Linked DNA regions of Styela clava. The protein of the gene in region 1 purifies or fractionates together with the protein of each later gene. This does not show direct contact. Links are inferred from orthologs where the notes say so. Each region holds a gene or a part of one and is shown in the gene's direction. Other genes may lie near its edges.

Region 1 (17,184 bases):
TTATTGAAACTTGAAAGGGATTTCAAGAATTTATTAGTTAGGGCAATATTAGTAACAGGGAAATTAAATTTAGTTTTATCTGGTCAATAAATTGTTGTTTCAACAAATTGTTAATCGATATATCACAACTTTGTTCGGTGTCACATTACTGGGGGTTCACGTTGATTGTTTCGTGCCTGGGGGGGGGGGGGTATTTTGCAGAAAAAAGGTTGAGAACCCCTGGTCTAGTCGAATAAACACCATGTTTTATTGAATCTTCGTTAGATTTGGATTGAATAGTTGACAATGATAAAAATGATGTAATAATTCTATATGAAACCTACATACTTCCTTCTGTTAGATAAATTTCATCCCATATTGTTGCTAACAACCGTGCCATAAAACCCCACTCCCTAATATCACTACCATTTAATTTTACGTTTTACCTGTATTCTCAAAATGGTGTGCAGGATTAAAAAGTATTTATTGGTGAAATAGGTATTTTGATTCCCAGTACTGTAAAATAATAAACCACTCAAGTCATCAAGAATTTTAGCATAATTTTTTTGTTTTATAGCTTGGAGAGAAGAAATTATATCATGGTGTCTGCTATGATGACAACAATACGGACTCTATATAATTTTGGTTTTATATTGTGTAGGAGATACTCAACCTTACCAGTGTGGTTGCTAAAAACAAATTTGAAAAAATACCAAATTGAATTTTGCGAATTTTCCCTTGAATCTCTAAACCAGTTCCAGTCAAAAGAGTCTTACAATTTCCTTGCTTATGATTATCTAATATGCGTTTGTACTACTGTTACTTTTCCGATATATCTATGATGACTTATATTGAAAAAACAGTCTTATGATTGAACATTTATCCCTGATATTCATTACGCTGAATATAATTGAAGTAATTATCGGTAATAGGAAAGTCTTAAGATGCTAACAAAAAGGACTCCCTCGGAGATGAATCTTATTTTAAAAAAGAGTATGTTGGAATCCTGCCAATCTGGTGTTTGCAATTTTTTTTTGCATATTTTTCAATAAATGAAACAGTTTATCAACTGGTATGCATGGATCTTGTTTTCTGTTAGGGATAATGTATAACTGAGAAGAGTAGTCTTTTTTGCATGTTGAGTATTGGGATACTAGTGGTTGTGATAGCGTATACCAGCTACCGATATGTTGTGCCTGCAATTTGTATTACAAATCTAAAACATCTTAGCGTGTAAACCCCTGTCAATTGCCTATGCAATACAGGTAGAACTACACAATTTATCAGTACGGACTTCATTTAATAATAGCATTTGAGTCACTGGTGGAATTATTCCATGATCTATTAACCATGTATTGTATGAAAATAATTAAATAACAACACATATTCGCTAAAAAAAATTAACAATCACAAAAAGGTATGCAACAAGCAATAAATATAACTTATTTCACTGAGTTTTTTTTAACATATAGGCACCAGTTCACGCTACAGTAAAAAGACAATGAATGCGGGGAGGAATATAAATGTATATGTACGGTGACCAGTAGAAACACTACAATAATGTATCGCTCGCAATATACCCCCTCACATAAGTAATACATTGGGTGAGCGAACACGTACTACTTCTTTTATCAATACCTTTCCATCTGAAATATGTAGGCTTCAAACTTTACTTGAGGTTTTGTTTGCTTTCCCGATTCTATAATCAGTTACTTTATCATTTGTTTTTATCTATTATTTTCTATTCTATTGCTGATTATGGAGTCGGTACATTTGTAATGAGTAAGTGTTCGAATACAGCATTTTCCCTGGTTGTAACATACGATACGGTTCAATTGTACAAGTACCGGTACGGTACCGTACATGTCTTAACATTACCAGTTTCCACATCACTTATAAACAAAAATATAACTAAACAAATACGGATGTCTTAACATTACCATTGCGCTGGCCTGGCCCCGAATATTCTGAGGCCTGGCCCCATTTTCTCCGTGGCCTGGCCCCATTTTCTCTGTGGCCTGGCCCCATTTTCTCTGTGGCCTGGCCCCATTTTCTCCGTGGCCTGGCCCCTTTTGTGTGGCCTGGCTCCAAAGCCACAAAAAAGTTATCACCCCTGTTGATTTATGGGATGCAATGCAGTTTGAGAGCAATTTTTAAATGTAAAGTATTGGGGTGCATGGGTTTGATGGACAGTGGATGCAGAAATAATATTATGCAAGATCAACACATTGATGAGATTTTAAATAAATCCATCATGCTATAATATCAAGTTTCCAATGCAACCACTGGCCATCTCATGACAATATGTAACAGATTTCATTGTAACAGATTACCGTATTTACTAATTTGTGTAAAATGATAACATAGATGGAAAATGTAGGAATTTAATGGTAAATGTATCTGGTCTGAATTATTCAATATTTGTCTTATCTTTTCATTGTATACTTATTCATTGTATAAAATCACCTAAATTACATCACAAAAATAAAAATAAAATTTGGACCTCATGCAATAATATTGAAATATATATTTGGATACACCAAAACTATCATTTGTATAAATCCGATTTGGCAATGGAATTAAATTTGGCAAAAAAAAAAAAAAGTTTTAATCTTTTTAATGTATGGTACATCTGAGCATCACATAGATACAGCCAGTACAGCTGTGCTTTTATGTTCTGCATATTCCAGTATTCAGATACCGGTATTGGATTTAAGCAGAAGACAGAAAAAGGTGAATAATCTATAACAGTTGATGCTGATAGTTTTTAGACTTTGGGTCATTTGTCAGTATTTACATGTTTTTTGATGGGCTACGGTACCTTAGGTATATAAGTTATTTATTTTCTGTTTAATATGCTGATCTTTTTATTGCACTATCCCAATGTAAATAATTTAATCAATACCTTGATTACATACTGTCAAAATGGAAAACAGACTTTTGTCTTAAAATTCAGGGGAATACAAATTGTCTGAACATTGGATTTACTTCAACTGTTGCTCTGTTTATCTGCAATTTATTATGACTGATTTATGTCATCTTTGAAGTCAAGTTCCCTTCATATTCATTTGCTTGAAAATTGGTAAAAATCTACAGTGGTCTAATTCGAATTTCATGGAATTTGTAAAAATAATGATTCCTATGCTGCGGCAGTAGCATTTCTTAAGACAAAACTCTCAACTAGAAATAATTTTGCATATCATCATTTCCCATGATACTCAGAAAAGCAATGTTGCTGAAACGATTTTGCACAACCACCAAATTCCAGACATTTTGTCTGATATTTTCTGTGTTTGGAATGCTGCATATCATGTCAAGTATATCAGAGTTGAAAATTTTACAACTCAAATCATCATCACCAGTGACAACAGTTGTGAAAAGTGGAAATAACCCTGTTTACTGGCTTTCAGCAAATAATGCCGACTCTGGATACATGAACCATGTCAAAGAAACTTTTAAAGCTGTAGGATTTGACAGATGGAATGAAAAATCTGGAGATTGGGATGTAATGTGGTCGTATGAATACCCATTCGGAAAAGCAATAACAAGTACTACGTTGAAGCCGCATCAAAAAGTGAACCATTTTCCTGGATCTGGGTATTTGACAAGTAAAGGGTATCTCGCTATGTCCAAATCAAGGTATATTCCACTTGCGTTTTCTTTACCACAAAATTTAACTGATTTTAAGAAATATATTGAAAAGCATCCGGAAAAAATGTGGGTTCAAAAAAATAATAAACACAGGGGAATTAAAATAAAGACAAAAAAAGAACTTGATTTTAGTGCACCTGACTCGTTTATACAGGAATTTGTAAGGAAGCCTTTTCTTGTGGATGGACGAAAATTTGACGTTGGGATTTATACTGTGATTACTTCCATTAATCCACTAACTGTGTACGTCCTTGATAATGAATGGTTGATAAGGTTTTGCCCTGAAGATTATGAACCTTTCGATTCTGGGAATGTTAGAAAATATGTGGTTGAAGATGACTATACTCCAACTTGGGAAATGCCATCTTTAAAGACGGGTTATAAGAATATGAAGCTTTCACACAAAGAGAGCTTGCTACAACATTTAAAAACAATTGGCCTTAACGAGAAAAAAGTTGTTGATGATTTATATGCGGCCGTGTCAGAGTTGATTTGGGAAAAGCAGCCAGATATTATTAGATCAGTTGGGTATTATCCCTATGGTACAAGATCGTTTTTTGAACTTGTTCGTTTCGATTTTGTTCTTGATGAGGATTTAAATGTTTATGCAATGGAAGTGAACATGTCACCTAATTTATCTAGCGGACATTTTGCCGATAACGCAAGAATGTACCGACAAGTTATATTCAATACTCTATCACTAGTTGGAATCGCAATGCAAAGGGAACACTCCGCAACGAAAAATATATTTGAAGAGGAGATGTCTGTTAGTAATCGCGATATCGTAGCTTACCCAGAAGAATGCTTGAAATGTAAATATTGCTTAGATCATATTTGCAAACTATGTAGTCAATGTATGGTAATTCCTGTTGAAAGTAGTTTGAAAATTGCGTATAAACATCATGTTAACAGAAGAAATTTCAAGAGAGTTTATCCCAAACCACTAGGCGATAAAGATTTGGCTTCATTGTACAACCCAGTAAAAGATAAAAGATTAAGAACTGATTTAGATAAGATGCTTGCTCTTTGGTATAAAGGGAAATGCTTGCAAGACCTTTCTTGGTGTATTTGAGTCTCAAGTCCACATTTGATGAATCAGATGAAAACTTATTTCATCTGATTCGAAAAATTGCCTGACATTTGGTTAATTGAACATTAGAGGAAGAATAGTGAAATGGAATTTGGGGCCAAATAAATAGTTTTCATTTCTTGTTTGGATTTGAAGAACTACTTTTGAGTAACTTATAACCAATTTTTAAATCTGCGGAATCCATACGTTCCATAAATTGTAAATACTACCAAGCTGTCGTACAGCTCTCCCTACAAGGAGGTTACTACTCAGCGAATACCATAATTGCACTTTGATTTTAATCGAACATTTCCCGCTTCGTCTCACTTTTACTATATGTACTTGTTAATAGCCTGATACATTGTTTTGGGTTACCAGTAATTATTCTGAAATCCCTTTTTAGTTCCAAGTCTAGGACTAACTAGAGACATGCCTACAACCTCATATATAAATAGTTAAGTTTTATTCAAATAATTCACACGTTCTACCATATATACTGTATTTGTCGATGCCTCAATACATTGTTTTAAGAGACCATTAATCAAAGTAAAATTGCAGACTTTTGAGTCCAGGACTGTCGGAGGCATGCTCCCTACCTCAAACATAAATAGAAGGTTGGTTTTATTCAAATAATCCATGCCATTCATCACATGCATTTGATACCGTCTCAGTTTTGTGATTTTGGTGGTATATTCAGGAATACTTGGTTGGAGTATTTGAGTTCAAGCACTGTCCAGAGATGGCCACATCTCTTCACCTTATACAGGCAGTAATATATTGATTATGTGGGCTATGCTAACCTGGAAAACAGTCATTATGAACTTAGGTAATTACTTTGTACGCCTTAGTTGCTGTATTGAATGTCTTTCAGTATGATATTATTATTCTAAAAAAATTGTTATTCTAATCATGACATAATCCTTTATTGCATTTGTTCATCTTTTTGTTACCCTGCTGTGCAATGATATTTAAAACTCGTTTAAAAGGGGATAATAATTGTGTTTTTTTTTCTATGTTTGCATTGCATATTTACTTCCAATAATGAACTGTGCATTTTTTTAAATCAAATTACCTAAGGGTACATATCAAATTTATTTGTTCATTAGATTCTTGTTCATAATATTTAGTGCTACTTTAGCTTGCTATCACACTAATGCATGATATTAACCATCCCATATGGTAGGATCTACTTCAAGCTAGAAAACAGATAGTGAGGCGAAAGTATGTTTATTCATAAAAAACATGTTGAAAATACGTGGATGGAACGTGAATAATGAAATAAATGATAAGTTTTAAAATGTAAATATCCAAAATAAATCAGGCAAAATCAAATCTAATTAATACTTTTTTTTCCACACCCTTTCAAAAAAATTGCCATGCCTTTGTGGGACACACCCCATCGTTCGAGAACCACTGCGCTATAGCATGAGTAATACCTCAAGCCAGTACTATAGTGTGGGGTCTACCTGAAGCTAGGAAGTTGCGGTAAAACTTCTGCAACATTTTGAATCGTTTTTAATCGATGTTAACTGGTTCGAGGCTGCACTGGGTAGATGACATATGGTGATAGGCGGTAGCACTCGCGCTATAGTAGCACCAGGTATTTCTGAGAGACCATGTTGTCCAGGGAAATTCGCTTTTGATGAAAACTTTATGTTGGTAAATATTTTGGGTTCGCCAGTTCACCCTGTTGCTTTGGCCTATCTAAGATAAGTAGAATAGGCTACTAGACCAGTTTTAAATTGGACTACTTTGAGTATTTTTTGTTTTTCTTCTTTACACTATAATATGGAACATATAATTTATTTCTATAACACATACTTGAATGACATTTTTTTTTAGCAAAATTATTAGAAATAAATATTTTTCAAATACATACTTTTGTTCTCATTTCGTCTGTGAACTGTCACCTCGTAGCAAAATTAAAAAATATGGTCGCAATTTTAACTCAAAATCATGCATTTGATGTTCTGAAATTTGATCCATTATCATCTTATTCTAACTGTGTAGTTTATAAGCCTATTGAAAATATATAGAGCACAATTGGCATAGGTAAAATGATCTAATTTGCCGAAGTTTCAAGTTGACTATTCGAAAAACTTGTCATGGCATGATATGGTAAACCTTAGCTTATAATAATGTGTTTCGCTCCTTTCTATAGCAATAACTAAAAATTTCGTTTTTTTGTTTATTCATAGTTTTTATTCATAGTGTTTGTATTTCTCATTTATCAATACATTAAAATTTAATTAACTAACAATTGTTATAGCCATAAAACTATTTTGGCTAAGCATAATTCTACTTCTTTATATTTTCGGAATTTTTTCCCACTCAGAGATTACGGTAGTCTCTTTTATTTCAGGGTGAGCGCACGAAATCTTCCTCTGATTTATTTTATCCACATCATCTTGCGTACTCACTGATACTCTCTATGACAAACAAGATATTTTCCTGCAACAAATTACATTTTGTTGCCTACACGCTGATACTCAACAACGATAACCCTTGCTCTGATATTTTATTTTATATGAAATAAATCATTTGATTGACATATTCACTTCTTTTCTTTATTTTTAACTCTATCTCTCCTACCTTATATCATGAATGCATTGATTTTTGTTGAAAATTGAATATTGCAAAGTAACTTGTAACAAACAAGGATCATCTTGTAAATAATATACTACTGGTATCTACATTTTTATTAATATTATTTTGTATTTTATGTAAGTTATATCTGTTCTGTATATTTGGAATTCAAATGTATATAATTATAGAAATTTTGGGAATTTTAGCGAAGTAAACGTGTAACTCTTAAAATAACGTCAAACAGGAATATGATGTTAAAATACTGTCAAAACTGCTTGAATAGCGCCAAACAGAAATGTGATGAAAAAATTTTTATGTTTTTTTTTAAAAAGTCTGACGCGGAATGAAATTCTTGAGAGACGTGATTAGTAAAATTGAAATCCACTCAATTTTCAACTGAGCAGCTATACCATGTCTAATAGGGTATAGTGGTTTGTGCCAAACAGACTTGATTGAAAAAAATAATGAAAATTTGGGCTGTATTTTTGCAGCGCTTTTTTGTTTGGCATTATTTAATCAGCTTTGGCCATTATTCTTCATCACCTTTTTGTTTGACGGTATTTGAGCACTTGCGGTGTGTACTTCGTTAGACCCAAATTTTGTCATAAATGTGAGGTTTTTCTTACATCTCGATTGGCAACAAATGTTATTGCTGCCTAAAAGTGCTGTTGGTTCAGAAAAGTGATCCGACTTGCCTATATTTTGAGCCATTCAAAATACTCATTTCAGGTTGCTAAAAATTTAACTTTGACTCTATACTGCTCGATTATAAAAATGGCACTGCTGCCTAATTACACAATTTATTGTGCTGATGTGCTCTATTATCAAAGTCACAATGGTCATTTAAAAAAAAAAGAGTCATGAGTAGGGGTGGGCAAAATCGAATATTTTTTTCGAATCGAACAGTTCGAATATTTTTCACGAATACCGAATAGTCGAATAACGAATATTTTTTTTCAAATACAATGGGGTCCGTCGAAGGTCGATACTCCCTTCGAAAATAAGAAGAAACTTTGAAAAATCGGCAACAAAGCGTTTTTTATTTACTGGTTAAATTCATCAAAATCGCTAATTGTTTTTGTCGCCGCGATCCTAAAGTTCGTAATCTGTATTTCCGCCTGATTCATTTTTTTGAAAGTATTAATTCTTGCGGGTCGGCGGACATCGAAGTTTTATGTATTAGGTATACCCGTGCATTGCCTTTGAAATTTTTTTAAAACTGTAAAAGTCGCCAATAACGCGTGCACTAGCATTTTGCTATAATCGCCGATTGTTATTATCAGCGTGACGTGTTATTTAGGTCGTAAACAATATGAGTTGGTTTATCTTCAAATCAAATAAATTCAACAACGTTGTGCGACGTTAACGATGATAATTATTTTATTTTTGTACACACAGGGAATCGCGAATCCGGCGAAAGTTTAATTAATATACGTTCATCGGCGGCGAGTTTCTCCAGGACAACGCAAATTTTTTGATTGAAAAGCGGCAATATAAAATACTGAAAATAAAACTTTAAACAATATGAGTTTTATTGAGGTTGCGACAGTTTGAAAACGCCTTTTTAGACATTGAAAATCGCAAAATTTCGTGTGCCTCTCGCACACATTATGTTTGGCCGGCGTTTAGAAAACATATCATCACTAAAATCGAAGAACTGTTAATTGTGGGCGGGATTGGCCATATTATCCATTACTTTAAATTGCCCTCGAAAATTTTCATTTCAACATTATACAAGGTTTGAAACGGACAATTTTCTCCGGGTTGTGATGATATATATAAGATAATCAATCTAATGTATATTCAATCAATTTTTATTGTGCTAAAATAAATTTTAACCTGAGATATTACAGCAAATTTATGGATTTTTTGATGTTATAAGTCCTGAAAATAAAGCTTTATATATTCGATCAGTTTACCACACTTTATGTCCGCAGATTGCCGTGGTATTTTAAAATTGTGAAGATTTTATTTTGTAGACTCAACCGCTGGTTAAATTGAAGACAATAATAAAACAAGACATTTTAAATATGCTCTTATCGGTCACAAATTGATTACTTTGCACAACAGAAAACTCATTATTCATTGCAAAAGTCGGCTCTTATAACAAGTGGCCTAATCGCGGCGATGAATATGTATTTTTGATTAAACGATATACTTTATATGTATTTTCATTGTTCGAAATGAAATTGTACTCTAGATACAGGATTTTATATCAGTTATTGAGATTTTTCTAACGGCGAGAACGAGTTCGCAAGATTCCAAAAATACTTATTAAAATTAAATACACCCGGCAGTTTATCTCATACTTTTATGTCCACAGATCGCCGTGGCATTTCAGAGATGTAATGTTTCAATTTTGACTTAAGAAGAAGCAACCGCGAGTTACGTTTGACATAATTAAATTAATATATGAAGACATTTTGGAATCCCATAGTTGTCATGATTTGATCATTTTACGCAACAGAAAAATCATTATACGCTGAAAAAACTTCTCTTTAGCGCGCACGTAATCCCGGTGACTGTTACAGATGGCAATGAGAATTTCCGATTTTTTAAATACATCGTCATACGTTTATAATTTACAGAACAATCATAAATTAAAGCAATGGTGGGGACCTATTTTGCAAAAGAGGGAAATGAAACGATACGTTAGGCGTGAAAAGAAAACAAATAACATCATAACGCAAAGAAAATTTGTCGCTTTTGTATGTTAGCGAGCGCCGTTTGTGAATTCTCGGGCAATTCACGATTCCGAATTCCGTGTTGAAGCAAAGCGGCGCAGGTCACGTGGTACCGGGTATTCGAATAGTAAAATGTCATTCGAATATTTTGCCCAGCCCTAGTCATGAGTCATGACAAATTTGAGTGTTTGTCCTCTGATTTAATTTTCAAAACCGGATCAAGTTTTGAGCGATTATCTCCCCAATTACTGATTTAGCTCGGCTACACAATTGGGCGCTCCAATGGTTCATGAAGACAGTCCCTGAACTCGTAATAGAACTAAAATAAGGAGAATCGAATAAAATTATGGCCTAACCCTAACCTGGTACACACATTACAGGGGTACCCACAATTGTAATCTGCTGATAAATATGGCGGCCCAATATACCTCTACGACAAGGACCATCTAAATCTCAATTGGAACCTTATAACTATACCTATTTATATCTTGAGTCTAACAGCCCTTTACATATTAGAGTTTTTAAATAAGAATTAAAGCCATATATCCATACTTATCCATGATCTTGTGTTTTCATTCTTTTCATAATTCATGTTCTTTTTCACTTTATAATAGGAAATATTATGTCTTAGGTTATGCTATTAATTAATCTGAAAAATGACGGGAAGATCTGAAAATGGTGACGGTGATGAAGATTTAGATTTCGTTTATGGCGATTGTGACTCGTTTATAAGTGAGTTAGGAGAATTGTACAGTTATACAGAGGAGAATGAGTTTGCTTTAAACCAAGAATGCTTCAAAGAAATCCTCGGTGACGAGAGAAAATGGATTGAAATGACTTTGGAAGAAAAGAAGGTTGTGATTATGAAGGCAATGGATGGAACAGACGTCGTAAATTCTGAAAAAAAGTTTCGAGCTGTGAGAAGTTTATTATACATTGCACAGGGTAATTTTACTGAATTTGCCACCATTGAAGAACTTTTGAAAAGTTCCAGGAAAAATTGCTTTTTATTGTATGAAATGGGAGTATTTGGATTGGCAGAAGAATTACTTCTAATGGAAATACATAAGAATGAGAAAGAAATTCCTGATTCGAAAAATCCAACAGTGTGTTCTATCGTAAACAGTTCGGAATTAAGAATCGTGATTAGTCTACTTTATACAATGCTCGAGACTATTCGACAGTTTGAAGAGAGCGATTCTGAAAAATTCAAAAAAGCAAGAGATGCGTTCATTACATTGTTAAATCAATCAAATAATGGAAATGAATCGCTTTTCGTCGTTTTGTTCAATATGGTTACCAAGTTCTGTAACCACAACATAACAGCTTATCCAATTAAAAAGGTTCTTTTATTATTATGGAAAGTTGTCTTGGCGATGGTGGGCGGGCTTGATGATTTACACCAGTTAAAATGTAAGAAAAGAGAGGAGGCGGGGCTTCCACGTTTAGCAGAAAATCCTATTGAAGTTGCTAGAAAAATGAAAGCGTCTGCTCCACCAATGAACGCAGCGGATTTGTTCGACCAAGGTCAACCGGGGAGGAGAAAAAATCGCAGAGGAATCATACGTGGACCAGAAGTGGTTGAAGTTTCAGGTTCGGAAAATAAATCTGAATCTTCTGGTGATATTGACGTCGATATACACATTCCTGGAGCGGATGACGAAGATTCTGAAAAAGAAGAAATGATAGAAAATGGAGCTGATCTACTCCCAGCCCCTTCAGATCAAAATGAGGTGGAAAAAACTGATGAAGACATCATATTTGACTCTGAAATCGATGCCCCTGTTCCCGGAGGAGGAATTGATACTCCAGCAGTGGGTATCGGAACGCCAGCACCATTTAAGAGGGATCCAACACCGGGTGACACTGCCGCAATCGCTTTAAAATTAATGAAAATTAAAGCAGAACGTGAGGAAGAGCATGCTCTAAAAGATCTTCATGTTATCAAAGTACCTTCTGGGCTTCACTGGACTCCTAAAACTCGGGAACGAGATGTTGAGATCTTCTTATCTCAAGTCCGTCAAAAGTTTGTCGGTTTTCAACTTGAAGGTGATGTAACTACTATGGCTGGTCTTCCTACGCCAACTAAGGAGAGTGTTAAAATTCTTCGAAAGCATTTATATGTTTCACTTGCGGAAAAGCAAATTGAAATTGAATCACAGATAGGAAAATACCCCCTAACAAAAGCAAAATTGGATGTCATTCCTGATAACTCGGCGGAAAAACTTTACCAATCAATTCTACCAAATTTACCACAATATATGATTTCACTTTTGAAGATCTTACTTGCCGCAGCTCCGACATCGAAAGCAAAAAGTGACGCAATCAATATCTTAGCTGATGTTTTGCCCCCTGAGATTCCATACTCTGCAGTTCAATCAGTAAGATTAGGAATCGATGTCAATCGTCATCGTGAAATAATCGTTAAATCAATTTCAGCAATTTTGCTTTTATTATTGAAACATTTTAAGCTGAATCATGTATATCAGTATGAATACATGAGTCAGCATCTTGTGTTTGCGAATTGTATTCCTCTTGTTTTAAAATTCTTCAATCAGAATATTGTCGCTTACGTTACAACGAAGAACGTCATTCCTTCATTGGAATATCCTGCTTGTGTTGTTGGAGAGAAAGTGGAAATCACAGGTATGGAGAAATTATAGCGAGGTCCCCCACTATATTGTTTATTATTCGAAGATTGTTCTCTCGTATTTTGCATTCGAATTTTTGGGACAAACTCCCTCAGAATTTCAAGATTATGTTTGAGAGATAATTGTGAACTGTGGTTGCTTTCAAAATTCATTAGTTAAAGGTTGAAGTATTTCTTAGAATTCTATTTTTTTGTTTTGTATTATCAGTCCTTACCATTGTTCTGTAGAATTTTTTAAACTCATATTTGCAAATTATTTTTAAGACAAAATTCTGCTTGTCTAGTCGCCTTCATATTTTTGGTAGTTAGAGATAGATGTTTGACTAAGGAATAATTGCACCAGTATTGTTAAGTATTTAATATTTTTTCAGCTGAATCTCTGGAACCAGTTGACACCCAATCTGCAGCCTGTTGGAGAAATCTATTCTCGAGCATCAATCTGCTCAGAATTTTGAATAAACTTGTAAAATGGAAACATTCAAGAACCATGGTAAGTGTAGTAGTGAGGTGTCTCTCTCTTACGAATCCTTGAACAAGGCTCTGTAAAAGAAGCCACTGTGGCAGGAAATGCGTGATATTAAAGAACTGAACTCTTAAACTGTTTTTTATTCAAGTCTTGGCATCTGGAATAGTTAGCTGATCAACTATCACCATAACTTGAAATTTGGGCCGCTTTGCCTGGGATTCTCCCAATTCAGAGTCTCAATTCAAAGGATTTAGTCAACAATCTTTTCAATTTCCCAATAAAACTAGAGAAATAACAGAATGAAAATAATTTTTCATGACTCTCGTTCATGTCATTCTCTCTGAATCCCATTGTGTTACATGCCCAACAAAGTGACACCCTGTGAAATAACCTTTCAAGCAATGAAACTAATAAGAACAGGTTATTTTCTTGTAAAGGGAAAAGTGAAATCAGTTTTGCACCTGGTATTGTAGTCCCCCCTCATACTGCTCTGTTGCCCCATTAGAGGGCCAAGTGCCGCGATTGGGAACCTCTGCACTAGGCTATCACGTCCACAAAATAGAATCGAACATGCAACATTTTTTCAGATGCTTGTGGTCTTTAAATCATCACCAATATTGAAACGAGCATTAAAAGTCAGGCAGGCAATGTTGCAACTTTATGTTCTCAAACTTTTGAAATCTCAAACAAAGTATCTTGGCCGAGCATGGAGGAAGAGTAATATGAAGATTATGTCGGCCATTTATCAGAAGGTACTGTTTCAGTATTTGGTGGCGACTTGTGCCTTAAAATCCAGCAACGTATCTACTTTCTATACAATCATAATTCACAACATCAGACCCCGCTGATGTATAAGCCATCTCTAGGGTTGCGCTGCTTTAACACACTTACTTAATGTTTGAGCTGATGAGAGCTGTTCTCATTGCCTATGCATGAACCTCTTTGTACAAAGCTATACAAGTTTTGGCGGCGCAATATGGAGGTAACTAATTTTGTTTGCCTACTTTACATCAAGTTGTATAAAGGGATTCATTACTATGGGCAGGGGGGATATTCACTTGGTTAACACAGACAGTCCCCAAACTCGTAATAGAACTAAAATAAGGAAAATCGGAATAAAATTAAGGCCTAACCCTAACCTGGTACACACACTACGGGAGTATCCATGTTTCTATGATTTTTTTATATAATTAAATTGGATTTCGAGTTATTTTAGTATTTGAACCTGGGTAAACATTCACTCTTATCCAGAATTTTGTTTAGCAGTGTTATAAGAATTCAGGTACTTGACTCTACTCGAGTCACTCTTTATTTATCAAAAACTGAAAGTATTGCTCGAGTAAACTGAATGGAATGAAGTTGGACTCAAGTAACCACAAGTGAGACATAACCCAGTGATTGACCCGACCTCAAATGACTTGACTCCCGAGTTTATGGACATCTAACCAGCACTGCTTGCTCTTCATTTAGTCTGCTCCCATGGCTTCGTTTTTTTGTGATATTATTTTTCTATTTTCTGTTAATGACCTGCTTTTTTATCGTAGGTCAGACATCGCTTGAGTGATGATTGGGCTTATGGAAATGATGTTGATGCCAGACCTTGGGATTTCCAACAAGAGGAGTGCACGCTTCGAGCTGAGGTAGGAAAATCCATTCTTTTTCTTACATTGGTTCGCTTCCTTAGTATCCATAATGGTAAAAACCTGAGTATTGTTATAGATGAACGGGGGGTACTGCAGTAGTGTATGTGCCAGGTTAGGATTGTATATAATACATACGAGGAATATTGTTACTGATCTAACATTGAATTTTACCCAGTTAGGGTATGTACTGAGATTTATAGGGGGAAAAGTACAAACATAGGCGCAAATTAATAAAAACAGAATTGATTATAGACTCGATAAAAATTACTCGAGTCCAAAAAATGCGTGGATTTTACTCCAATCCGAGACCGGATCCGAATCTCGGCCCATCCCTACCCTCTACCCATAGGTTTCAGTCCCCTTACATACCTTGATGTAAAGTAGGCGAACAAAATTAGTTCCCTCCATTCTGGTACGTATACTTCTGGAGCGCCGAGCAGGGAACCACAGGTGTTGAGAGTGCGAAGGGATCAATGGATCGTAAAAGTTTGAGACTGGACTGGACTAGAATATTTTCAATTTGACATACTTATTTGATACATCCCGCATGGTTGCATTTCATTTCCAGAGAATCACTGTGCAGTGCCTACTCTATGGTCTTATGGCATAGTTTGAGAAACGCTGTACTTCTGATTTGACTCTAATTCAACACAACCTACATGATTGCATTTCATTTCCAGGTGGAAAGATTCAACTTCAGAAGATACAAGACGGACAGTCCGACTATTATTCCTCCAAATCAAGACCATGAACCGGTTGACAATGACCTTCACAGTGTCCTTGGAGAGAAATTTGACCTTCCAAATGAGTTTGTGAAAAACTATGATATCTGGTTGGAACGAGAAGTGTACTCTACAACTACAGATTGGGACCAGTTGCTTTCAATATCATGTGTGCAGTAGTGAAGATAACCTCACTATTCTGGAAACATTAATCTTGGGTTTAAATCCCCTTCACCCAGTATGCTCCCCTGCTTTTCATTTTATAGAAGGGGGGTAATGTATTTGACAGGCCATCTACATCTACACTGAAGAATATGCCATATTCTATATATTTGAATGAAACTATACTTAAGTTGGGAATTAAAGTTTGGTATCACACCTCAAAGTTAGGGGGGATGTTAGAAATTTTATAGGAGGGAGGGGTGTAGGGAAGCCACTGCCTTCACCTTAACCGGGGTAAAACAAATTGAATTGTAAATCTTGAAAAGGGAAAGTTTCCAGTCCTTTCAAACTACAGCAGCTTCTTACCTAACAGTGGTTGCTTGTTAAGAGCAAAGTGTTCAAAGTGAAGGGCATAAAAAAAAGTTTAAAACGTGTCTGGATGTTGAAAGGCTTGTTTTCATCATTTGATATTTTCGATTATTAATGAATGTGTTGATCTGTAGCGAACCCTGTATGTATTCTCTTTCCTCTATGCGTGGTTTAAAGTGAAAGACATAAATGCGCATTCCGAAGAAAAGTTAAAAAAGACACGTTTTCTATCAGTTTATATATTTTATGATGAAAGTGTTATGAATTATGATACATAGAGGTTATTCTACATGTTATCTTTTCATATTTCCCAAGGCTTGAAATTCATTATTAGGGTTATAGATAAATTCTACATGACCGTCAGCTCTGAGCCGTCAAAAAGTTCAGTTTTTTCCGAACAGTTTTGAGTTTTTTGCTTTCAACACTGATGAAATTTGAAAGTATACCTCAAATATTAGATTTTTTTTTGAAAAGTAAAAAGTAATAATGGACCTGAATTAATCAGTGCTTTTGAGTGATTTCAGCATTTTCATAAATTCAAATTTTATTTTAAAATTTATTCAGTTTATTAGGTTGATTTTGATTCATGGTGAATGTAACCGTTCGATCATGTCTGTCTATTTCAGTGGTTCTAAAACTTTTTTAGTCGTGCCCATCTCAAAAATAACTAACTGATACAAATAACAGATAGTAAGGCGAAATATGTTTTATTCAAAAAACACGTTGAAAGTATGTGAATGGAACGTAAACATCCAAACTAAGTAGGGCGAGTTCAAATCTAACAAATATTTTTATTCAGCTTCACGGCCCCTCAAGAACCCACTTATGAGAACCACTGACCTATTTGCTTGGCATTTGTAGTACTTGGCGTAATTGATATAAACAATATGTTATATCTTCAACTCAACCAAGTAACTTACATGATGTGCAAAAATGATATTTTTGTAAAAATTTTAGAAATAATTCAGAATATTTATTTGAAATGATTTTGAGCAGTTGAAGTCTCATAGTATAAATGAAATGCATACAATTAATATCTGAAAACCAATAATTTCACTATTTATCGGAACTTTCCTGCATTCGGATCCAAAATTAGTCTTGTTTTTTTATTCACTGTCAAATCTGAAAGTTCAGAAAAGAGCCTTAACAATTTTTAGAAGTGAAAACTGTTGACTTACTCAAGAAAATATAATCTTTATTTGC
Region 2 (16,062 bases), on another chromosome or scaffold:
CGGAACAGATGCCCGGATTGAAAACAGTTTAGGCAGGATTTAGTATATATATATAGCTCCGTGAGAAGAAAGGTCTTACATTGTATTCCACCAACCTTGATGCAGCCTGTGAACTTAGAGACATCAAACTCGTCAACGATGGCTTGCACGTAGCCATTGTAAACTTTTGTATTTTTTGAATATATTTTATAGACCCACCTAACTTTTACAATATTTAAGAAATCTAGCATGGATTTGATCTGGAATATCGTGACTTCAGTTGGTATGCCCCGCACACTGATGCGTGTGCCAAGGCCACGACGAAGACCAAATTTCAATTAACCCGAGGGAGTGTCCAAGATTTTGCCGACACTGTCAAGAAAATTATCGCGCGTGGAACCGCCATCCGTGGACTGGAAAGTTAAGATTCAAAGGACTTGCCGGATGGGTAAAATACCCCGGGGATTTAGAATACCGTAGTTTTTCAACGGAAGTGAAAAGCTCGGAGAACGACGTAACGGTCCTTATGTCTTAAAAGTTAAGACGTCGACCGACTCGCCGAGAAAGACCTCCACTCCTTTTACGCTCAGTCGCTCACTACCCTAGGCAATGAAGCCGCCACGCTTGAAAAAAGCAGTTTGTCCGTCACAGAAGATCCCTTGGTGCAAATGGCCTTTGGCTTCCGACTGCCAGAAACACTCCAATTTTTCTCTCTTTCTATTTTTCAAACTGAACCCGATATTTAGACAGAGAATATGCGCATGAATTCTCGATGACAATATTATGGTCATCGAAGACAGCCGGGATGGCTCTAAATATAGGCCTATGTAGTAAAATCGGAAACTGTAAAGTTACAGGATCACAGCTAAGGGGTCGTGTCTTTGGAGGCGTCCCGCTTTGAAATCAAAAAAATATGGTAACCCTATCTATGGATATTTATTTTCGGTGAATCCCCTTATATCCAATTTTTGCATCATGATTTTTGAAGCATGTTTTATAGGAAATGTGTAACTTTCATTAGTGGGAATAAGCTGTAATGCGTTCAGTATGTGCATTTTCACATAAAACTAAAGTATTCAATTAGTTACCACGTGCGCTACGAAACTAATTTTCTGGTTGTTTTTCAGTGGCTCGTCACACGGCCTAGGCCCTATAGGGAGCAAAACCAAATATTTTATCATCAATTCCCCGAAAATCATATGCGGTAACTCAACAAAAAGGTACCTGTATCATGGTAACGGGGACTGTCCTAGCTGTCACGTCTTTTGATTGATAAGCCCGCAATCTATATAGACTGGAAACAATGAAAACGTATCAAACGCGCCACTCTCAGCCCCTTTATTCACAAACAAGACGCAGGCATAAATCAGCTCCTTCTTATATACTTGGCAAAGATCAGCGGTTTTCTCAAATGAATAAAACACAATTGATTAACTCAAGTCACAATACATATATCAACAACGAAGGGCAAAAATTTTACCAAACGTTTTCCGATCCGGTTGGCTAATACAATTTCAATATATATATATCAGATGAAAAAACAGTCCACAATATGTACAAATATAAGCGGCTATCACACGCCGAATACGTGATGCAAAAGTGACAAGGAAAACGCTACACCAGACAACATATAAAATTACTAATTTAGGCTACGACCAAAGAAAAAGGGGTGATAATAGGTCTTCAATAATTGGGTGCAAGGCAGCGCACTATGAACTGCATACGGAGGCAAAATGTACAATCATTTCAAACCTAATCGTTTACAACGAAACACTAGCTTTGCCAGGTCCTGTGGCAATGATCCATTCTTCGCGATTTAGTATCAACGTGAATTGAAATACTAACTTATCCGAGTCACTTCTGTATTACCAGATCAGGTACCGCAGTCTTTCGTACCCAATTAAAAACTTCCCACTTTCGCTAGGCACAAATCCACCAACGTTCGCTGAGCAAGAGATCCGTTGATATGCGTTCGCGGAACCGCCGCAAAGTCTGCAATTTCTGATGACGTCATAACACACAAAAACGAATTCCATAAAATATCCTCACAGAAATATTTGAAATACATAAATAGCCCTCTAGCGGAAAATACAATCTTTGACCAATGACAATTTTAAAGCAATTGGCCCAGTTATCAAAAAGGTGAACGATATTTAAACAACGATAAAATTATATAATAAAGAACAAGAACAGCAACAGCATAATATCAAAACAATTTTTCTGTAACTTCGTCCAACTAAATTTTCATGGAACCTAGTTGCAGTGCAGGTGGCACCGATCAGAATGTGTCTTATATATATTTAGGTATGAAATGCTGGCCAAAACTCTCGAGTGAAAAGAATGACAATTGAAACAAAGCCAAGTCTCAAGTAATCAACGTATTGGCCATCATTAAGTCCACAATTTTGTACCAAATAACTGGTTAACTATTCCCTTGATGACAAAACATGGGGCATCATATATGATTAGGCCGTCTTATCGACTTCCCTATACCCTGGATAAATATGATAACTGTAGAATGAATATCAGTTACCACTGCTGACATCCATGCATTAAATTCCATTACTTGCTTTTTATTATTTAAAAAAAATGAAACAATATTTCAAGAATTAATATTAATCAACAATGCAGACACAATAAAAAAATTGAATAGATTCCACATAGTACAGTTTCTTTATTTTTGCTATGTTCGAGTATTTACCCTTTTTCAGTGACAATATTTGTCTTTATTTCTTATAGTGTCAGTTAATTTTTGTAAATATTCAAACTATGGCTTTCTGTTATCAATTTTGCATTCATAAAATCGGCCAAAAAAATGGACATTTCCCCGATCCTTCGAACCCAGAAAAATTCTCCCTATACTTTACCATTGCAAAAATTTTGAGAGCGTTCCGGAGAATTGGCGCTTACAAACTGGTTTTTCTGGTAAAAACCATCATTTTTTAGAAGCGTATTCAATCACATGTCGCTTACAGGTACTGAGAGCTAATTTTATCCCAGTCTATCACAGCTCTTCCGGGACTAATTTTTAAATACTGGAACCAAACTAAAGCGTCTCAAAAGACAATCAAGTTATTTGATTTACAGCTGATTTTTGGGAGCACAAGTGAAAACCGGCCAACAACACGCAAAATCACGAAAAAATGGCAACCTTTACACCCATGATTGTAAGTCTATCCGACGACTAACATACCGTCTGTCTGAGCAATGACATTAAACAACATGATGCGCAACTCCGGCATTTTTGTCCGAAGATCGTATTCGATAGCACGCTCCAATGCACATACTTGACGAGACGAAAACGAGCGGATGTGTGCTGCTTTCAAGGCGTAGCACGAATGGTGTTCGTGCCTGCTTTGACAGTTGTTGTCGATTTTAATGATATTTTTGAAAGTTGGGGTAAAAAGAAATCGGTAAAAGGTAAGGTGAATACTATTGTTGTATATCACACCCGGGCATCGCACTGTTAAGTACATGTGGGAAAGCCAGCCTTTGTCAAATACTACGAAGTTATTAATTCAGTACGGTACGTAGTTGCCCATTTGCCGAAATTACATATTTACTTACCCCTTATGGTTTCAAATAGTTCATGCACCTCCAGTTAGATTTTTTGAATCAGTGAGGATATATACTCATTGTTGATTGCTGCTCATTGTAACATACTATTACGCATTCACTTTTATTTGCGTATTGAATCAAAGTGTTAACAAGTTCACCTAACATTTCACTCATACCGGTCTATATTGTATAGTCTGATTTCTCAAGTATTTGGAGGCACGAATGCTTGTAATTTTCTGACTAAACCCTTTTATTAGTTGGTTTATATACCAAATTCAGTAAAATATTTTTTAAATAAAACATGAGATATTGGATTTATTAGCTTTTCCATTCTGAATCATATAGACTGCTTTATTTATTCTTAACGAAAATTAATAAATCTCCTCTCTTTCCTCAGATGTGAAAGTTGTGGACAAACCTGTCTAAGCATTGTGAGACTCTTGCAGCACAAGAGGCAATAGCAGAAATAGTAAGTATATCAATCAAAAAATTAAGCCGACATAAAGCAAAACTTTCAACTATTCGTCTAATCTCAATTTCCTATTATTTATTCACAGGACAACTATAGCAGACGGGGAGATATCAGAAGTCTGGCGACATATCAGTGACAGTGTGATTCCAAGAAATATAATGCAATTGAAAATAGAAATTTGCAATAGAAAAACAACCTATGGAGGCATGCAAAGACATTTGACCCTCCGGTAGAGTTGTGTATGGCCCCCACATCCTGCAGGGCTTGAGGAAAATAACTAAAAATTCCAAAGCGTAAGATTGCATAAGCGGTCTTATTTGTAAAAAGGCACAAAACACGCCAGACATACTTAAAACAGCTTTGGAAATGAGGATTACGGGTACCTCACTGCACCTGTGTTATATTTGGTTCATCAACTTTTGGTAGTACTATAGAAGAAATTCCGGAAGGGGTATAATCATCATTCATGATAAAATACTATCATATATTTTTTGAACAACTTCAATCTAGACCAGGGATCTCAAACTCGCGGCCCCAGAGAACTTCCATTCCAGTGCGGCCCTCGAACGCTTAACAATAATTGTAATAGTATTTTGGAAGTTTTTTTTTTATCTAAATGTAATAGATTTTTCAAACCTTCTAAAGTGAAATTGATTATTCACACAGAAAACAATTTACTGAAAGTAGTTTTGGAATATTAATTTTTTTGTCCACATTTTGACCCAATTAAGAATACACATCAAGCTAGCAAAAGAATACTTGAATAAAACACTTGAGTAATTAAATTAAACGCAAAGTACATGAAGAAGGTGGCATTTTCGAAGAAAATGGGAGTTGTAACATTTCTGCTCTTCACAAAATTCTGAAGCACATTGTTTAATTTGTCATATTTCCATCAATACAATCAAAAAACACAATAAGCTCAGCAGTCAATATGACAAATTCGAAGACCAACTTCGAACAGAAAATTTCCATGTGTTTGTATATTAATATAATTATACAACGACTTAGTTACTAAAAATCAATATCAATAATAATTCAAGCAATCCTATGCCACGCAATGTAGTGCGAAATGTCTTGTCGAAAAAATCTGTCATTTGTTTTTTACTGATCTATACATGAAATGATAAAAGTAACTTTTTTGCATTACTGGAATTAATTAAACATTCGTAAAGATCCAGATAAACCCATGATCATGTGGCCTCGTTAGTTAGAGTTGGTACTATAAAATCATTTCAGACTGGCCTTAGTATGCTGGTGACACAAAAAAGATGCCAAACGCCAGGACAAATGTAATTATTAAAACATTGAGTTTATACTGTAGTATTTTTGTCAATTTTAGGTTCATATATTTAGATTAAGGTATTTTTAGTGTATGTATTATTCTTTCCTAATTCAAAGCTTGTTCAAAAATGATTTTGATGGTTGTACATAGAATTTTACGATTTTTTATAATAAATACTGTAACTTGCAAATGTTGCAATAATAGTGGAATGCAAATATTAATATGTAATTGCATTTGAAATTGAAGAAAATAATAAAACTTAATCCAACTGTTTAGTTGCATCACAATATATGTCACAAACTAAAACTATCTTAAAAATATCTTTTAAGTATACATTATCAAAAACTGTTTGCGGCTCTCGAAAACCCATGAGTTTGACACCACTGATCTATTCTAGACGATTCAAGCATTGCTTTGGGAAATTATATCACTTCAATTAAATTGAAATAATCTCGCTATATTAAAAACAAAATCGTTGCTATCATAAAGGTAAACCAATTCAGCCACTCGAAATATATTGGCCTTCACAAAGCGATGGAGGCAAAATTGAGAGTTCATGAGCTATGAACATTTGTTCTTTTCTTTGTCTTGAACTTTTCATACTCCACAGCCCCTATTAATTTTTTTTAATTTTAATTACCATGTGATGGTCATACATATCTTTAACTTGTATTTTCTGTCATGATGTATTATCTCAATGTGCCAAACTATTAATTAGTGTGCATATTTTGCTTCCAGATGACATAAATGTATTGTCATGTTTATTACCTCAGCTTGGAGTATTGACAAGAAAAAGGTGCCAGTAAATTAGGTAAAAAAATTTCCAACTCATTGTAATAATCAGAATTCACAATCAATAGGAATTATAAACAGCCAACAATCAGTGAGAATTATATGCGAAATCCCTCAGAATAAATTTGTCTAAAATCGGAGGAAGGTAGTTTCCATCCACACAAGCATTTCAAGAAGACTTGCTCGAGCCAAACTAAATGAGCATCGTCAGGTGATCGGTAAGGCTGCAAGTTGAATTCAGCCCTGCAACCTCCTGCATAGAAGATAATATTAATTAGTGGGCTATGAGCTAAATTCCTAAATTTAAACAAACCTATCTACGATGCATTATGTACCAGCAATGTTACCTACGATTAACTGAATATGTAATATGTCTAATAAATTCACCTACAAAAGCAAGTTCGATAGGTGCAAACTTTGTGTTATGGAATTGTATCGCAGCACAGTTTTGTATGACACCCTCTTTAAATGAAATTTCAATGATTAAGCGCAAACATTAAAATTACTAACTTTGAACTTTGTCATTATCTGCAAAATGTTCCACACAAATCTTTCCGCTATCGCGTTTGTAATCTTCTCTGATAAAAAAAAAAAACGTCTATGATGTCCAGAATTGCTCTTTACAGCTTGCCTGTTATTCCAGCTTTCCAAGTAAGCAAAACTTCTTAGATATAGAGATTATTTTGTTTCGTTACAGGCGCAAAAAGGCAGGTACTACACGTAAAAAAGACGCCGAGTAGCAAAAGCGAGCGGAAAACGGACGCGAAAGGCGACGAAAAATATGTGCATTGGAGCGTATCATGAAATACAATGTTTTGCCTGTAGTCTTATGGAGTGACGTCAGAGTTGCCTATCATGTTGTTTAATGTCATTGGTCTGAGCGAAAAAAATGTCTGAGCGGTTACACAAATTGCAATTGTTACGTCATTGGTAACTTATTGCTGATTTGTAATTGTTACGACTATAAACAAGGATATCTATGATCGGGGAAACTGGTTTATGTTGCCAATGACATTAAACATGACATTAAATGGCCAATTAAACATGTTTAATGTCATTGACATGTTTAATGTCATTGATGTTGCTGAAAATCTCTTGTTCTTATTTAAAAAAAATTACGACTCCCAGTGGCGATAATAAATTGCATTGAATAGAATGTCTGAATGTAGATGTAAAAGAACTGAGAGAGGCCCGAGCGAGAGAACGGAATAGCCGACGACCCCAAAATCACCAAACACAGAAGCAGGCTAAATAGATGTCTTTATTTTTTTTATTTAATAATAATTCACTTTGTGGAACCATAAAAAAAGAATAGAACCAGACAGGTATTTCTCAGAATACATAGCATTATCGCTCGTAGCCTATTCGGTTTCTTTCTGCAGACTGATTCATGAAGTCTGGGGAGTTGTACCGGTACCGGTACCGGTACCGTATTCTCGAAACTTGACTGCTCGCGATACTGGTACGGTAACGGCATACAAATTTTTCACCCTCCAGCAGTTTGAACTTGCAAACTTGACTGCATGAGCCTGTAGCTGTACCGTACCCTAATCCTGTACTCCATTAAAACAGCTGATACCGTACTGTGATAGATTGTCAGTGCTGTTATTTCTGTATTTAGTGACCGGTATCGTATCTGCTGATCTGGTTATTGTGGCAATTTGGTGTGGCTACGACAAAGAGAAATGATGATTTTGCTTGCTTAATTATATTAAAATTAATTAGAATAGGTACATTTTGTTATAAATTAAGATTCCTGTATTTTATTTTAATGATCATTCTGTCATTTATTTAGCTATATAAATACTGTCAGATTGTAGATTCTGAGATTTCAGGATTCTGGGATTGTAATTCAATTATTCTTTTGTTATCACTAGTGTGATATAAAATTTGAATTATGAAAAATTCTATCATTATTGAAAATAAAACACCCAATATTACCGTACTATTTAAAAAGCAGATAAAAATGACCATAACATACGGTATAGGCTAGGTACTGTAAAATTTCAGAGTAAACAAACCCTTTGCAAAGCAATTACAAAATTTGCGTTTAGCATCAATTTAAAAAGTAGACTAAATTATGTCCATGTTAAGTTTTTTGTATTTGCTTATTTTGTATTTATGAAAGTAACGCTGGAATTGCCCAGCATTAAATTTTTCATATCCTAATACTGCTGCACTGTAATAACTTCTTCAATAATATAAGTGTGTCGCAATGGCTGAAATGAGAAAAGACTACTTATGTGGCTATTCAACAAGTCAGTGAGTACTGGAGTAGCAGTAGCCTATAGCTGTGTAGCAAAATAATGAATATGAATATGGTGTCTGTAATGAAATAAGATATTCAATTTTCTCATGGTACAGCAACAAATTAATAGCATATTGTATTAAATATACATTTGAAAGTGTCACAAAATTAATTATATATGCCTTTGATAACTTGAAAAGTTTGATGTTTTATTCTTCCATGAATATGGATGCCGATCTTCCCATCAATGGCCAAAATGGGAGCGGAAATCAAGATGATCAACACGTGAGTATATTTCAATACTTTATTAATATAGAAAATGGAACAGACCCATTTCAAAGTATATTTGAATAGTAAATCATTTGGTTTTCGCAACCACTGATAATATTCATTTAAAATGTTGTAGTTTACTGTGGATATTAGTTCTGTATTTTTTTCTGTAAACACTGCATGCAGTTGGAAAAATAACAAAAACATCATTCATTTCAATTTATCCCCTTCCCAATTTGCTAAACAACAAGTAAAGATAGAACTAGATGAGTGATATTTTGTTGAATAAATAAAGTTCTGTCCATTTTCACAGATTGTTTTGTTTAATTTTAGGTTGAATTAAAATCAGGATATACAATGCCAGGAATACTTCACTTCATTCAGCATGAGTGGTCCAAGTTTGAAATGGACAGAGCACAGTGGGAAGTGGAAAAGGCAGAACTACAAGTATAAATGAATCCTTGTTATGCTGTACTCAAGAAACATCTCAAGATTTATTGACATTGTTATACCAGACATACAGCGACTGTAGTATTGATACTGACTGACATTAATTAAATTTGGACTGATATCTAGCGGTATTCATGGCTGTGAAATGCAGTGCATTTTTCACTCCTCTTACTCTATGAAATTATAAATTTGAACTCGAATCATTTTGAAAATATGACTCCAGTTAAAAAACATGCCAAACTATGGCTCCACATCCCCGCTTGGTAATAGTGGTCACAACTGGGGCAAGGTCATTTATCCCATTTGGAAGTCTCATCTATGCTTTATCTCCAGATATGTTTATTGAATACACATTGTTGATTCAACCAGATATGTCCTAACTAATCACCTTTTGATAACAATGTTATAGAATGTAAAATGTTGATAATTGTTATGTTTTTAGGCTCGTATTGCATTTTTGCAAGGAGAAAGAAAGGGCCAAGAAAATCTGAAACGTGATCTGGTCAGGCGTATCAAAATGCTAGAGTTTGCACTGAAACAAGAAAGGTTGAAAAAAATTCTTTTATTGCATTCAATGATTTTATTTTTTCATATTTCAACTAATTTTTAAATAATTTATTTTCATAAATTCAATTGATCTGTTATAATACTTGTCACTTCAATGGACTAAATCAATTTTTACCTCTTTAATAAAGTGCACAAATTATTAGTAACGTTTTAAATTAATAGTAAGATTTCGTGAACACTGATCAATTTTTATGTGCAACTTTGCTAATCTAATTCCTCATTTAAAAAAGTAAAGAGTAGACGAAGTAGGGAGTAGCATAGCATCTTTGTCCTTAATGTTTCTTCATAAGTTCTTGCTTTGTAAGAAAGTTTCTATTAGCTATTCTCACGAGCCTGTACATATTTACTGTAAGAGCCTTAATATTTAATACATGCATCTTTCTTTCTTTCTTTAAAAATATGTTTTTTCAAACAATTTGTAACATGTTCTGATACATTTAGAGCAAAGTTACATAAACACAAGTTTGGTAGTGATGGACCAGAGGACGATAGCTTGAATGAATCAACAGGTAAATTCAATAATTTCTCACAAACCAACCATATTTATAGCCTATATAACGGCCTGATATCAGTGTCCTCGTATCAATCTTTAATATTAGTTTCATTCCGGGTCAGTAAATCTGTAACAATATTGCAATATTCAGTCCATTCCGTTCATTTTGATATTGGTCATTTTGCCTCTTCCTGTAAATCACATGGGCAAACAATATTTTTGATGAATATAATTATCTATCTACGGATAAAGTGTGTGTCAAAAGTTCCAGTTACCCCTATTGGTCTTTCAATAATAGCCTGACTGCAAATTTGTATTTGTTGGATGTTGTTGTACATATGTGGATATGAACATCAAATATGAATTTAATACATTCCATTCATTTGTCATAGTATGGCCTCTCACACAAATAATAACGATTTTGGTATTCTTGTGAATCTGTGATCTCTATCAAAGAGAAATTGCTAACATCATAGATATCAACCTTTTTGGTTCTTTTTATTTTTGATCTTTTTTTTTTTGAGTTTTGTACTACCATTGTTAGGAATTATTATAATTATGCCATTTTATATTGTGTTCTTCAGATCTTTTGTCATGATTTGTGTGATTGAGTGGAATACTATTTTAATTTTTCTTTCAACTTCCACCAGACATCACTGATTTTAACCATTTGTATTTCAGAATTTAAGCTTGGTGAAGAAATCTCACAAGGTAATACGCAGATGTCATGGAGACAAGGAAGACAACTTTTAAGACAGTAAGTTTGTTATATCAATATATTTGTTTCATTGAAATGTCTTGCTTACCCAATTGGTATTGATATGAAAACAATAGAAGATCAACACTCATTATATATGACAGGAAGTACTCTTTTGGTAATAGATTTCAACAGGCATGTGCGTATGCTTTTCATTGAATACAAGCTATATTTATATAAATAGCATAAAGGGGGTAAAATAATGAACCCACTCAAGTACTGCTGATTGGAAAAAATTAAAAGCAAAAAATAGCATGGTAACGACACCGTTAATTAACTGCTAAAACATTTATAGGAAATGGTATCGTTCTAGTAGTACAGTGCTTATTAACCTGGGTTCGGTGGAGCTGTCCCAGGGGTTTGACGAAGGTGCATTGAAAAAATTTTTCACCATGTGGTCATTTCATTACCCAGTTTTCACTTACCGGTATGTGAAAATTATTATATTCCACGCAGACAGGCTCGCAAAGGTTGAGAAACACTGGTCTAGTAGGTGAAAAATGGATAGGCTATGATTTTATTACAACAGAAACAGGGCAACCAGATACTAACAGAGGGTACTAGGCTAAAACTGTATTGAACTGCAAGTCTTTTCTCATTCTTAGACACAAACAGTTTCAAAAAAAAATATCTTCAGATTTATGCAATGTGAGGTTAACTTCAATTAAGCAAGCGATTTTAAATTCAACTTAATCAAAAGATTCATGGAATGGTCATATGACAGCTGTTATTCCATAATACCAGCTCTAGAGATAATCTTAAAATTATATCATATTATGATGACTTCCACACAATTTCTGTCAGTCCTCACATGTATCTTTGAACTTCAATGATCCTTCAGGTTCTTTACATTGACCTACTTTCTTTCACTCAGACCAAGGGCTAAATTGTTCAAGTGTCCACTCAATGCCTGTTCATATGATGTGAATGTACAATGTACTCCCATATTTCCCTTAAAATGTCAATAAAGTAATGCATTGTGTACCTGATCGCTGTTATTTCAATGTTATTTTATATAGAGTGCAAGTGAAAGAAGTAGGCTTACTATTAATAATATTTTTTACTGCATTTAGGTATCTTCAAGAAGTTGGTTATAGTGATACAATATTAGACGTGAGATCACAAAGAGTACGAGCATTACTTGGTAAAAGTTATGAGGTTGCTTCACCCGGTGCTCAAAACAAAAGCAAAATTGTAAATGGAATCTCAGAGAAAGATAACAATGTTTCTGTCAAGTATGTTTTTTTTCTATATGTGTTATTCTATTAAGCACTGTTCAAACACTGGTTTTGTTTTCTATTTTGTTTATTTAAACTAAAAATTTTCTCGAGTGAAGTTGCATGATCACTGATAGTGATAGCCGAGGTGCACTTAGATGCTAATAACTACATGTGTAGTTGTTATTAGAAAGAATATATTTCGGACCGTGCAATTTTCTCGAAGATATTTGAATTGAATGAAACCTCTAGTCATTTTTAACAATGCAAAATTGATCATTCTGTAAAGTGTAAACCATGCTTTCATGATTCTACGAATCGAAATCGAAAAATTTATACGAACGAATACCATGGTCACAGAATATGGATATTGAGTACCACACACACGTGTGAGCCACGGAAATGAACCTATAATGAAATAAATGGAACATTATGGAGCTATTTTTTTTTCTCATATTGTGCGACTTTGATTGCTCGAAATAATAATTCTTCAAATGAACGTATTCTGAATTATTTCGATAATCAAGATTTGAAATTTCTGGAATAAATTAAATCTTGAATCGATTCAATTAGCAGAGTCATTCTTGATCTTGACTATACATGAACCATTTTTTGTTAAGAATATTTCAATATTCTCTCTCTTTCTGGATTTACACAGCCCTTCTGAAGCAGACATAATGACCAACTTCGATTTTTTGACTGGATCGCTACATGATGAGATGGGCGATGACGATGATAATGATTCTGATCAAATAGACTCTGGAGCAGGAGACCGACAAAAATTATCCAGAATCAAAAATGTATCTGTTTATTATTTCTTTACAAGTTTATAGACCAGTAAATTTTGAAAGCAATCCTATATCTGCAAATTGGACACGTTATTTATTATGCATGTCAATATGTGTTTCAAGTACGCATACTTTTAAAGAAATTGTAATTCACGTCAAAGACGACCAATTTCCTTGTTAATAGGAGTGTTTTCATGCAAAAGGATAAAACAGGGGTGGGCACGGTTTTTGAATCAGGGGCTAAAAATTTTGCCCACTTGGACTGGCGGACAAAGTGGGACATAGAAAAAAGTAACATTTTATGAACAATATTTACAGTATTACAAAGCAAAGGTGGAAAAAATGCGTCTCATGCCATAACTATTTTTAACTAAAAATCTCAACAAATTCCAAGAGCTATTTTTAGCTAAAACATCAAGATTTGATTTCAGTTTGGCTGTGGCAGCATCGGGTGGGCCGGATTGAATTACTCAACGGGCCGTACTTTGCCCGTGTCTGGGATAGAATATACTTTGTGTCTTTCATGCCTACTTATTATTCAATTTCCGAAGCTGAGTTATAATATTATTGTTAGCTTGTCGATGATGATGATGATGATAATGACGATGATGATGAAGACCGATTTCCAGAAGACCTAGAATGTGATATAACTGAAACTGATTCTGCACTTGCTGAGTTTGATTTTTTATCTGCCACCGAAGGAAATGATGCTGGTATGTTATTTAATTAGATGTGAACTAGGTACATACCATGCTAATTGTAAATCACAGAAAATTTACTTAAGATTTTTAAATATTTCGCATAGAATGAGTGTGAACCAATCAATGCCGACTAACTGGAAATGTTAAAGTGATTTTTTCATTTTCGAACAATACTTGGTCAATCAGAATTTATTGGTTATTATTAAAACACTTCCTGTGTAGTGTATACTTTTCGGTACTCTCGTTGTGTATGTACCAGGTTATGGTTAGGCCATAATTTTATTCCTTATTTTAGTTTTACTACGAGTTCAAGGACTGTCTGTGTTAGCCAAGTGAATATACCCCCTGTCCATGGCTTTCTGTCCCTTATTTCCCATATTTGTACACTCTTCTGGAGCGCCTACTGTTTTACATCAAACAATTTTTTTTACAGTGGACTCTGGGCTGTTGGTATGGCAAGTTGATAGAAACAAGCTTAATGCCAAAAAAGAAAAATTTAAAGAGGAGAAAAAACAGTCTAAGAAAAAGGGGCTCAATCGTAAGTCGTAAAAAAAATGAATATATTTTTAGCATTTATTTCAAAATCGTATACTCAAGAAGGTGATTCTACCAAGATCATACATTGTATCTCAGAGTAAGTAATCAGTGATTTGGCTTTTATGTATATGTAAAAATAGTTTAATTAGTCCTGCTAAGTGCTATGTATTAGAGTTGTACCGATACCACTTTTGTCGCCGATACCGATACGCCGATACTACAAAAATGTCGATATTACCAATATTCCGATACCGATACTATGTAATTATTACCTAATTAGGTGTGCTGTGTAGGGCAGACGGGTTAAAACAATAGTCTATGAGCGTTGTTAATAGTACACATTATTTCAGATCGAAAAAAGATATATCACAAAATATGAAATTGATGTTTGGTATCCATATGTTTTAACTGATTAAGATACATTGTACAGTAACGCTAGTAATCTCGGTGTTCAATTAGAAAACTCATAAGCCGGGATGTTTAACTTGAATTTAATGTGAATATCGCAACATTCGAATATCGTTATTCAAGTTCAAAAGAATATTGAATATCACCTACACATTCTAGCTCTGCCGTCCTACGTTCAAATTAAAAGCATTTTACTAATATTTTATTACGTGGCTAATCGTAATCGTCGACGCAATAAGTCAAAGCCAACATGAAAGAATATCAATCAGCACCGACAATAAGAAAGCCTACTATCTATAAATAACCATCGAGGATGTTTTTTTACTTTACTATTTTATAATATTTTACAATTGCTATCATATATTTTGAGACAGTCTAGGGCTAGACGGTCATGTCAATATACATCGGTACATCTCTACTATGTACAAGTACTACTATGTACTCGTATCCATGATCCACGAATGTAAATAAAAAATTTCCAGTTGGATTAAATATTGATTGCACAAGAATAGCTTTGAAGCCCAACCTTCAAACTGACTGTCCAACTGAGCCCGAATTGATAATTGTTTTCGCTTTTGTATCACAAAATGGTCACAACTTGTTTCATTTTATCAGGGCCAGTCAAGAAAGATCTTCAAAGTATGTTGGAAACACTGCAAGGATCATCAGATGGATTACCCCCATCTCGTCTATCCTCTGATATTGATATGAAAAATGAGGAAGGTATCGAAAATATTTTTTTCTCTTTGTATTTCATATCAATTCTAATGTAAATTTGAAAATTGTGCTTTTATTGAGAAATAATATTATTCATAGGCAACTTTTTTTCAAATTTTTGAAATCATGTGTATTGGTGATATTTTCTGTATGATCAAAATACTGAAACTCAATATAGTTCTTCTAACTGAATAGAATATTTCACTCCTGGATGAGTTCCCAAACAATCACACTTTGGTCCTTAGAACATGAATGTGAATGTGGATTTGAATGCCTTTATTTCAAGCCTGTATATGTCAGAACAAGCCGTTTGACCATATGACTTACCTTACGTAATGTCATTGAGCTTTTCGTTGTCACAAACATCCCAGTATTTATAAACTATACGTGACATACAGGAAAATTAGATGGGTTCCTCACTAGAAACGAATCTCCCTCAAAAGTATATGGTTGACTCAGATTCACCTGATATGTAAAATTAAGGAAAGAAATTTCACATTTTGGTGATTGTTGTTGAGGACTCTACTATTAGCCATTGGTTGCCACTTGGTCCTATATTGGTATACTTCACTAGTAATTAGTATTATAAATGATGTAAAAGATTTTTGAGACTGCAATCCAAGTCCAACTGAAAACGAAATTCTCATTTTTAGAATCTCGAAATGCAGGAAACAGATGTTTTTGTAACATGCAAAATGTTTAGTGTTTTATTGACTCAATACTGCATTTCGCATAGAGAATTGAGGTTTTCCTGACATTTGTATTACAGTACCTCTGGCGTTTTGTATGTGGATACATATACATTTCCAATTTGTTTTATCTG

The links.
Region 2: the proteins of striatin-interacting protein 1 homolog (region 1) and striatin-3-like purify together in Drosophila melanogaster (affinity purification with western blotting; 4 studies listed by BioGRID, with this or other methods). This does not show direct contact. The link is inferred for Styela clava from reciprocal best matches to the Drosophila melanogaster genes Strip and Cka.

Annotation. Positions count from the first base shown.
Region 1 is NC_135258.1:5,848,957-5,866,140, forward strand, and holds the start of striatin-interacting protein 1 homolog, read left to right. Parts: upstream 1-10,526; 5' UTR 10,527-10,625; coding exon 10,626-12,615; intron 12,616-12,990; coding exon 12,991-13,109; intron 13,110-13,672; coding exon 13,673-13,837; intron 13,838-14,629; coding exon 14,630-14,725; intron 14,726-15,408; coding exon 15,409-15,630; 3' UTR 15,631-17,184. Other genes in the region: putative tubulin polyglutamylase ttll-15, read left to right, coding at 3,191-4,702.
Region 2 is NC_135261.1:20,430,279-20,446,340, forward strand, and holds the start of striatin-3-like, read left to right. Parts: upstream 1-8,439; 5' UTR 8,440-8,538; coding exon 8,539-8,619; intron 8,620-8,937; coding exon 8,938-9,051; intron 9,052-9,496; coding exon 9,497-9,600; intron 9,601-10,062; coding exon 10,063-10,130; intron 10,131-10,795; coding exon 10,796-10,871; intron 10,872-11,944; coding exon 11,945-12,106; intron 12,107-12,746; coding exon 12,747-12,888; intron 12,889-13,450; coding exon 13,451-13,589; intron 13,590-14,010; coding exon 14,011-14,115; intron 14,116-15,137; coding exon 15,138-15,245; intron 15,246-16,062.